2 linked regions of the Xenopus tropicalis genome follow. The protein of the gene in region 1 interacts with the protein of each later gene in a pairwise test. Links are inferred from orthologs where the notes say so. Each region holds a gene or a part of one and is shown on either strand. Other genes may lie near its edges. The genes, in order: epn2 and wbp2.

Evidence for each region.
Region 2: the proteins of epn2 (region 1) and wbp2 interact in binary tests that used the Homo sapiens proteins (3 or more experiments, as listed by UniProt). The link is inferred for Xenopus tropicalis from reciprocal best matches to the Homo sapiens genes EPN2 and WBP2.

The regions. Positions count from the first base shown.
Region 1 is NC_030685.2:18,479,441-18,483,944, reverse strand, and holds the start of epn2 (epsin-2), read left to right. Parts: upstream 1-1,566; 5' UTR 1,567-1,837; intron 1,838-4,504. UniProt on the Homo sapiens protein: Plays a role in the formation of clathrin-coated invaginations and endocytosis.
Region 2 is NC_030686.2:44,869,534-44,873,925, forward strand, and holds the start of wbp2 (WW domain-binding protein 2), read right to left. Parts: upstream 2,876-4,392; 5' UTR 2,809-2,875; coding exon 2,750-2,808; intron 1,523-2,749; coding exon 1,414-1,522; intron 707-1,413; coding exon 571-706; intron 427-570; coding exon 334-426; intron 118-333; coding exon 1-117. UniProt on the Homo sapiens protein: Acts as a transcriptional coactivator of estrogen and progesterone receptors (ESR1 and PGR) upon hormone activation. In presence of estrogen, binds to ESR1-responsive promoters. Synergizes with YAP1 to enhance PGR activity.

The sequences.
Region 1 (4,504 bases):
AACTTACACTCAGCTGCCTACTGCTCACTCCAACTCACACTCAGCTGCCTACTGCTCACTCCAACTCACACTCAGCTGCCTACTGCTCACTCCAACTCACACTCAGCTGCCTGCTGCTCACTCCAACTCACACTCAGCTGCCTACTGCTCACTCCAACTCACGCTCAGCCGCCTACTGCTCACTCCAACTCACGCTCAGCTGCCTACTGCTCACTCCAACTCACGCTCAGCTGCCTACTGCTCACTCCAACTCACACTCAGCTGCCTACTGCTCACTCCAACTCACACTCAGCTGCCTACTGCTCACTCCAACTCACACTCAGCTGCCTACTGCTCACTCCAACTCACACTCAGCTGCCTACTGCTCACTCCAACTCACACTCAGCTGCCTACTGCTCACTCCAACTCACACTCAGCTGCCTACTGCTCACTCCAACTCACACTCAGCTGCCTACTGCTCACTCCAACTTTTATCTTCTCTTGTTCACTTACATTCCAACTCAGCTGCTTACTGATCACTCCATCTCATACCCAGCCCTTTCCTACTCATCTCTCCTATACTCATAGTCTGCTCTCTCTTTCTTACTCCAACTCATACTTGATTACTTACATTGACACTCAGCTGCCTACTGCTCACTTCATCTCATCATACTCCTCAGCTTTCTCCTGCTCATTCCAACACATACCTCTCTTCTACTCATGTTCTGCCCCTCCTGTTTCTTCCATCTCATGCTCAATCCCCTAGTGCTAATTCCAACTTATACTCAGCTCTCCTGCACTCATACTCAGCTCCCTCCTGCACTCATACTCAGCTATCCTGCACTCATACTCAGCTCTCCTGCACTCATACTCAGCTCTCCTGCACTCATACTCAGCTCTCCTGCACTCACACTCAGCTCCCTCCTGCTCGCTTCCATTTACACTCAGCTCCCACAAGTTCACTTACAGCAGTTGAGCAATTCTGAGCTGCCCTCAGGTTCCTCCCTCACAGCCTCCCGGGGCAGCTAAGGGCAGCAGACCAGGGATGCAGGAGGGCCGCGGAAGGTGTAAATTCCTGGCTGCTGTGAGTTTGGATTGCAAGCTCCTGGGACAGAGTACATGCAAAGCCCGAGTTATTACAGTAAAGATGGCCCGTATAACCTTGGGGCCTGAGTAATAGATAAGTCATGGGAGTCTAACCTGCACCTCAGGGATGTCTGAACTGCAACTCTCTAAATCGTTCCAACAATGATTGGGACCTGGAGCTGCAGTTCAACAGCTGGAGGGCTGCTGGTTGGACCGCCCAGATATATATATTTCAGTAGGTAGCAGCAGGGATACAGAATAGGTAGTTTGTTGCTTCTCCCCCCTCCCCCAGGGGGCGCCGGTAATGCTGGGGGCAATATGATAATGTGACACCCACACAGACGGGAGCAGACAGGAGCTCCTTCCCTGGCCCTCTCTCCGCTCCCCCTCCCTCCCTTCCAGGCTCTTGTTTCTCCCCCCTCCCTTCTCTCCTCCCCTCATCCTCCCTCCCTGGCCGCCTCTCATCTCCCTGCCGCCGGGCTGGGGCAGTACAGACACCCGATCCAGTGCGCAGCAGTGGCCCCAGCGCTCCTGTGTGTAACAGTGGCCCCAGCGCTCCTGTGTGTAACAGTGGCCCCAGCGCTCCTGTGTGTAACAGTGGCCCCAGCGCTCCTGTGTGTAACAGTGGCCCCAGCGCTCCTGCGCTCCCCCAGCGGCCCCTCCGCACTGCTCTCACCTTGAGCCGGTAGGGGTGGGAGAGGGAAGACCCCCAGTTCCCTGCTGGAGGCTGGAGCACCCCTGACGCCCTGGGAAGGAGAAAGCTCAGTCCGGGGTAAGTGCCTGTTGCTCTATGGGTCTGGGGAGGTCTGTGTATTGGGGACCCCCTGTAGGACTCTCCTAATCCCCCAGTAACCCCTTCCTGGCAGTGTAGCTGCTTCTGTACAGGGGCCTGTTGCATGAGATGAGTAACACAAGAGGCCTCTTGCTATGGGTGTGGGATCCCTCCCCTGTGCCCCAAATTCATTCCTGGATTCCCATATGTGCCATGGAGCTGCTGCTCCCTCCTGTGGCACCTTGGCACCCATCACCCTCCGGCTGCAGTGCCAGTTCTATTCCCTGTGGGTGCCCTGTCCCTCTGGCTGGGCTCTGTATCAGCTGCTAAGTGCTCTGCAATACTACATGAGACTGGTGTAGCAATGCCAGGACTAATGCCAGGACTAGTGCCAGGGAGAGGGCAAGGCTGGCAGGGGTATGGCCCAGAGGGTACATGGCTAAAGGGGGGTGGGGAATGCAGCAGAACTAAGTAGTGAGTATTAGGGGCATTGTGCATGACCTATTGTCAGGGGCTTTCATCTTGTGCCTCCTGCAAAGGAACAAACTCCCGGCCTCCCACCCCCGGACCCCCCTCCTCCCCTCTTTGCAATTTGGCCTTTTAAATTCACTTCTGTTGTGAGTAGAACCACATGGGACTGTAACAGGACACTTAGTCCCATCAGAAGCTCTGCTGGTGCATTGCTTTACATGTGTGCCCCGCTGTGTGTGAGTCTGTGTGTTAGTGTGTGTGTGCGTGTAAGTGTGTGTAAGTGTGTGTGTGTGTAAGTGTGTATGTGTGTGTGTGTGTAAATGTGTGTGTGTGTAAGTGTGTGTGCGTGTGTAAGTGTGTGTGTAAGTGTGTGCGTTTAAGTGTGTGTGTAAGTGTGTGTGCGTGTAAGTGTGTGTAAGTGTGTGTGCGTGTAAGTGTGTCTAAGTGTAAGTGTGTGTGTAAGTGTGTGTGTGTGTAAGTATGTGCGTGTAAGTGTGTGTGTAATTGTAAGTGTGTAAGTGTGTGTGTAAGTGTGTGTGTGTAAGTGTGTGTGTGTAAGTGTGTGTGTAAGTGTGTGCGTGTAAGTGTGTGTGTGTAAGTGTGTGCGTGTAAGTGTGTGTGTAAGTGTGTGTGCGTGTAAGTGTGTGTGCGTGTAAGTGTGTGTGTAAGTGTGTGTGTGTGTAAGTGTGTGTGTAAGTGTGTGTAAGTGTGTGTGCGTGTAAGTGTGTGTGCGTGTAAGTGTGTGTGTGTGTAAATGTGTGTGTAAGTGTGTGTGTGTAAGTGTGTGTGTGTGTGCGTGTAAGTGTGTGTAAGTGTGTGTGTGTGTAAATGTGTGCATGTAAGTGTGTGTGCGTGTAAGTGTGTGTGTGTGTAAGTGTGTGCATGTAAGTGTGTGTGTGTGCGTGTAAGTGTGTGTGTGTGTAAGTGTGTGCGTGTATGTGTGTGTGTAAGTGTGTGTGTAAATGTGTGTGTGTAAGTGTGTGCGTGTATGTGTGTGTGTAAGTGTGTGTGTAAATGTGTGTGTGAGTGTGTGTCTGCGCCTCCAAACTATTCGCCTGAAGTTTAAAAATACAAAGCGAGCCTCAAAAAAAACCTGCAGAATGACAACTCTTTTTTTGGGAGTGGAGCAAAATTAAAGGGGCAGTTCACCTTTAAATTAACTTTACATATGATGCAGACATTGATATTCTAAGCCAATTTGCAGTTGGTCTATATTTTTATTTTTTTGGGGTTTTGTTCAACAGCTCTCTGGTCTGGTATTTTAGCAGCTGTCTGTTTGCTATGGTGCAGTTTACCCTAGCAACCAGACAGTTGTTTGAACAAGAGTTGGGAATATGAATAGAGGAGGGCCTAAACTGAAAGATAAGTAGTACAAAGTAACAATAAATAAAGCCTCACAGAGCAGTCCTTTTTAGATGCAGGAGTCAGAGGAGAAAGGCAAATAATTAAAAAACTTTAAAAAAAAATACATAATAAAGACCAATTGCAAAGTTGCTAGGAAAGCAATCACATTTTGGGGTATAATATTGACCTTTAGGCCCATGGCACAGGGGACATATTCTCTACCAGTCGATTGAAAAGGGTCCAAATGGCTTCATTCTGAAGAATACTGAGAATACAGGGAATAAGCCCCCTCCCCCCCCACGTGCACCGCGGGCCTTGTTACAAAGCTGTAATTGCATGTAACCTGCTACGCGGGCACCGGCGCCAACTTTATAACAGTTCACAAAAGTTATATTTATAATTGCAAAAGCTGTTTTGCACTTATAAGGAGAAAATTGCTGACACGGTGCATATTTTTTCCATTGTAGACTTTTTATGACTGAGTGGGAACTGTCCAATCCCTGCTTTTCTTCATGGGTGGGGCAGAGGTGTGACCCTGAAGGGCCTGCCTCTTACATGGCCAAGATGAGGGGTCCCCAGACTTTTTTACATGTGAGTCACGTTCGAATGTAAGCATAAAATGATTCCTGGGGTGCCAAATAAGGGCTGTGATTGGCTATTTGGTGTCCCCTATGTGGGCTGGCAGCCTACAGGGGGCTCTGTTTGTCAGTATACTGGGTTTTATGCAAACAAAACTTACCTCCATGCCGGGAATTCAAAAATAAGCCCCTCTTTTAAGGCCACTGGGAGCAACATCCAAGGGGTTGGGGAGCAACATGTTGCTGATGGACCACTGGTTGGAGATCACTGGCC
Region 2 (4,392 bases), on another chromosome or scaffold:
GATAAGGATAACCAGCAGGTGGAGGTGGGTAGATGCCATTGGCTGCAGGAGGTGGGAAGACGTAGCCCCCATTGGGCATATATGGGTAGGCAACATTTGGAGCTCCTCCACTTGAGGCTACAAGGGCGAGTAGAAACCATATTTTATAAAAATGGGTAAAGGAAAAAGTGCATTGCAAAGGCTGAGGCAGAATTTCTGACCCATTGGGATTTCCCTTTAAATCTTTTCCCCGAGGTGTGGGGCTTGTGGCAAATGTGTATTTGCTCTCCTAGGTAGTCCTGGGAGTCCAGACTAAATGTCAAGAGATTGTGACTTCAGATACCCCCTGCTCACCTTGAGAGGCCACGTGTAGCATGTGCTGGCCGAACTCTATAGCGCCCCCTGAAGGAAAGCTTAGTTTAAATGTAGCAGATCCTTCCCAACCACCTGCAGGCAAAGAAATGAATTCCAGATTAAAAGATATATTTAACCTACAGCAAATTATATTAGCAAAAAATAAAGGCAGGTGTCCCAGGAGCTGAAGTGGGACCTAGAACGCATAGGTATCCGTCAGATAGTAACACTGCTCACCTCCAGGCTCAGCTCTCACGTTGCCCTTGATAAAATTGGCTCCAAATACGGGCTGCTTAATTTCACAGTCCTTCATCAGATAGAAGGGCATCATGAACGACTGCATGGGGTCCCTTCCTTTGGACACAAATATCACCTGTGGATGCAAAATTAGCCTCACCCACATGCATAATACACAAGAGCCGTAAAAGATATGCTTATAAATAGGTTAGAATCTGTGTCACATGACTCACTGAAATAATAATAACTGAAAGAATAATGTACCCCCTTGGAATAAAATGAGAGAATATTAGACACCTCAAAGCTTTAGGGCCTGTATTAAAGTGATTTTGTGCCGCCTTTATATGTTCATGGATCCCCTCTGTGACTTTTATTAAGGAGGTGTAGAAGGGCACTAGCCCTATATGTAATAAATGACACTAAAGTTTGGCATACACTGGCAAATCTAAGTTGCCGATTTGAGTCCTTCAGACCGTTTCGGGCGCTTATCTGCCCATGGGGCCCCCCAGCAGGCCTACCCAACCAATATCTGGATAAAAATGGGCAGGTGGCGAAACAATCGATTTAGCCAAATTTTGCCCACCTTAGGTGGAAATGATCCACTCGATTAAACCTTAAGTTTGCCTGATAGCAATAACCCACAGCAACCAATAAGTATATTCTACCTGCTGACTGGTTGCTATGGGTTACTGTTCCTGGGCAAATTTAGTTTTTTTAATTACATAACCCCCAAGTGTCTTCTCTGACCTAATGGAAAGTTTAGTTGCACATTAGCAGTTTATTCCATGGTGCCAATGAGTCAGACTGCACCTAATGAGTGAAGGAAAAGGGAGGCAGACTTACTCGATATGGTGTCAGAATGACTCTGCCTTTCTTGGTCCCTCTGAAAGCCTCTGGGGTGCTGTCCATGTCACTAAATGTGACCTCCACATGTTCATAAGAAGTAAGGATACTGGAAGATAATAAAGGGCAAGTTCAATGAGAACAGTGCAGTTTAGTAGTCAAAGACGAACTGCCAGCTGGACACCGGGAAAAAACCAAGCGGGCCCCTCGATCCCTGCTGGTGTTCCTGAACTGACGTCCCTCCACCAGACTGGGGGGTTTGGGATGATGGGGACCCCTTGGGGGTGTGGTGTGTGTGGGGGGTGGTTATTGTGCATCTTCATGATATTGGGCCAAACTGACTATCTGTTTGAGGAATAAGAGGAGTGCCCAAGGGTGTAAATGTAGAGGAAGAAGACCCTGCAACTGCCAAGGTATAAGAGATCAGTGTCAGACTGGGAACCCAGAGGCCCACCAGAAAACCTTAGACCCCAGGCCGCTTTTCCAAACTATTTTTCCTCCTTTCCTCACCCAACCTCTTTATTCTCCTAGTCTCTTTTATTTACATGCTAGCATCTATTCTTCCATCTATTTCTCTTCTTTGTTCCCATTCAGAAACAGGGAATGACCATGAAGCAGGCCAAATGCTGAGGAGCAGGAGGGCCCACTGACATCTGGGCCCACCGGGAGTTTTCCTGCTATCCTTGTGGGCCAGTCCGACACCGTAAGAGATCCAACAGAACACTGAATGATACGCGGTTTCAGTGGCATAACTGAGCCCTATAGCAAAATCATTTTAGCGCCCCAATAAACTTTAGGAATAAGACATTTTTTATAATAAAGCTATTAAAACTGCTTATCAGTCAGTGCCCTATGGGGCCTCCTATAATCTCCAGGGTCACTCTGCCTTCCCCGGGTCTGAGCGTTAAATATCTCCTACATATTGCAGCACTGTATACACCCCTCCACTGTATCATGTGATTATGTAAGTGCTTCATAAGAATATTATATTAAATTAATAATATAAATAATAATAAAGGGGGTTTAGTAAGTAAATCTCACAAGGGATACATGTGGGACATATTATATATAGATATGCTGATAGAATTAAGTATATTGTGCCTGGGAATAGGAAAACACACACAATATTATACAAATAGTACAGCAGACAGGCAAAGAGAGGGAGGCGGGTGTATCTGTATCAGCTCCATAATTGGCACAAATCCCTGCTCGTCATGTCCAAGCTCCGCCCCATATATGATGACAGATACCCGGAACCCATATTCATGCAGGGGGTCCGTCTAACGTTTCGCTGACTGCTTCCCGCGACTGTCTCTCTACTTAGCCGCTGTCCTACCTCTCGCTGTTGTTAATTACTGCACCTCCGCCATCCAGGTGGTTCCTGTTAAGGGCCATATTGCGGAGATAAAAAGGTCACACCTCCGCAGCCTAGCAACAGCCAATCACCGTGCTCGAAGAGTCTCTCGCACTTTGAGACGCAGTCTGGGCGGTTCCACTGCTGTAGGGCCGGCCGCTCATTGGCTGAGGGATCTATGACTGGCATGTGTTCTTGATCGCTAGGGGGCGTGTATCACTGAAAATAAACCATGGCCGCTTGAGGCGCTAATGTTGTAGTTGTGTTTCTGCGTTGCTAATACTTCATTGTAACGATCACTTAGCGCTGAGGCGCAGAGCTGCTCCGTGTATTACGGTTGTTACCAATGTAGCGCTGTGTTTGGGCGGCTATTCAGGGCAGTAAGTGTTAAATTCTACTTTATGGGGAATATCCAATCTTATTTTGTACAGTTATATCGGCCAATTAGTTAGTTAAACATACTACTTCACTACAAACCTCTCCTAACAGGATTTCATACAATCCCAATTGAGGTTATCACAGGGCTGATATTAAGCTATTTCATACTCCCCGCGTAGTTGCTTCGCCCCTTCTTACACTTAGGGGCACATTTACTAACCCACGAACGTCCAAAAAGTGTTTTTTTTTCGTAATGATCGGTATTTTGTGACTTTTTCGAGCGCTCAATACGAAAGTCGCGACAATTCGCGCAAGTCGTAACGGCTACGAAAAAGTCACAAAAAATATGAAAAAGTCGCAAAATGTTCGTTTTACAATCCAAATTTTTCCCATTCGGATTCGTGGATTAGTAAATCAGCCCCTTAGTATAGCGGCGGAAATACAAGAAGGTCTCTAACTGGTCGATGTATATATTAGTTGAGGTAAAGTTATCTTACAGGTAAGTATTACGTTGCGTTTCTCTAACATACGGTGGGTCCGGTATTGCCAGGGTAAAGCCGCCATACACGCACCGATAATATACGTAACCTCGTTTCATACGATATTCGGTGCGTGTATGGCAACTCGGCGAGGCGGCCGATATCACAGAAGGCTGTCGACTCACCAATCGGACCGGTTAAAAGATTTTGTTTGGGCACCGTAGAAGGCGCCTGAGCAAAATCTGCCTTCAGCGCTGAATCGGCAGAAGGAGGTAGAAATTAGAGCTGGGCGGTATGGCCAAAAATTTATATTGCAGTATTTTTCAAAATGATATCGGTGTCGCTGTATTTGACGGTATTTTTTTTTTTCCATGCATGATTAGGTGTTAACCCCATTTCCTAATAAATTAGAGAATAATTACTGTAGTATTGAAAATCAGAGTCAGGCAAGCGAAGGATCGGCAACAGAAAGTCGTAAGGTAAATCAGGCAGGCTTAGTTTCCCAGGCAAGGCCGCAGACAACATAGCACAGGAGGAGGCGTTTGATAGCTTTAAATACCCCCCACGCATGCGCAGAACCGGCGCCGTTAGCGCGTCGCGGACGTGCACGCTTTGACATGTACGTGCGCTTTGACGCACACACACCTGGACGCGCGTGCGCAATGTCCCGCGGACAACGGGACGCGCGCGCAAGGAGGCGTGCGAGAACGGGCCGCACGGGTGAGTACCCTGACACCCCGGTATTGCGGTATCTGAAAAATGAATATA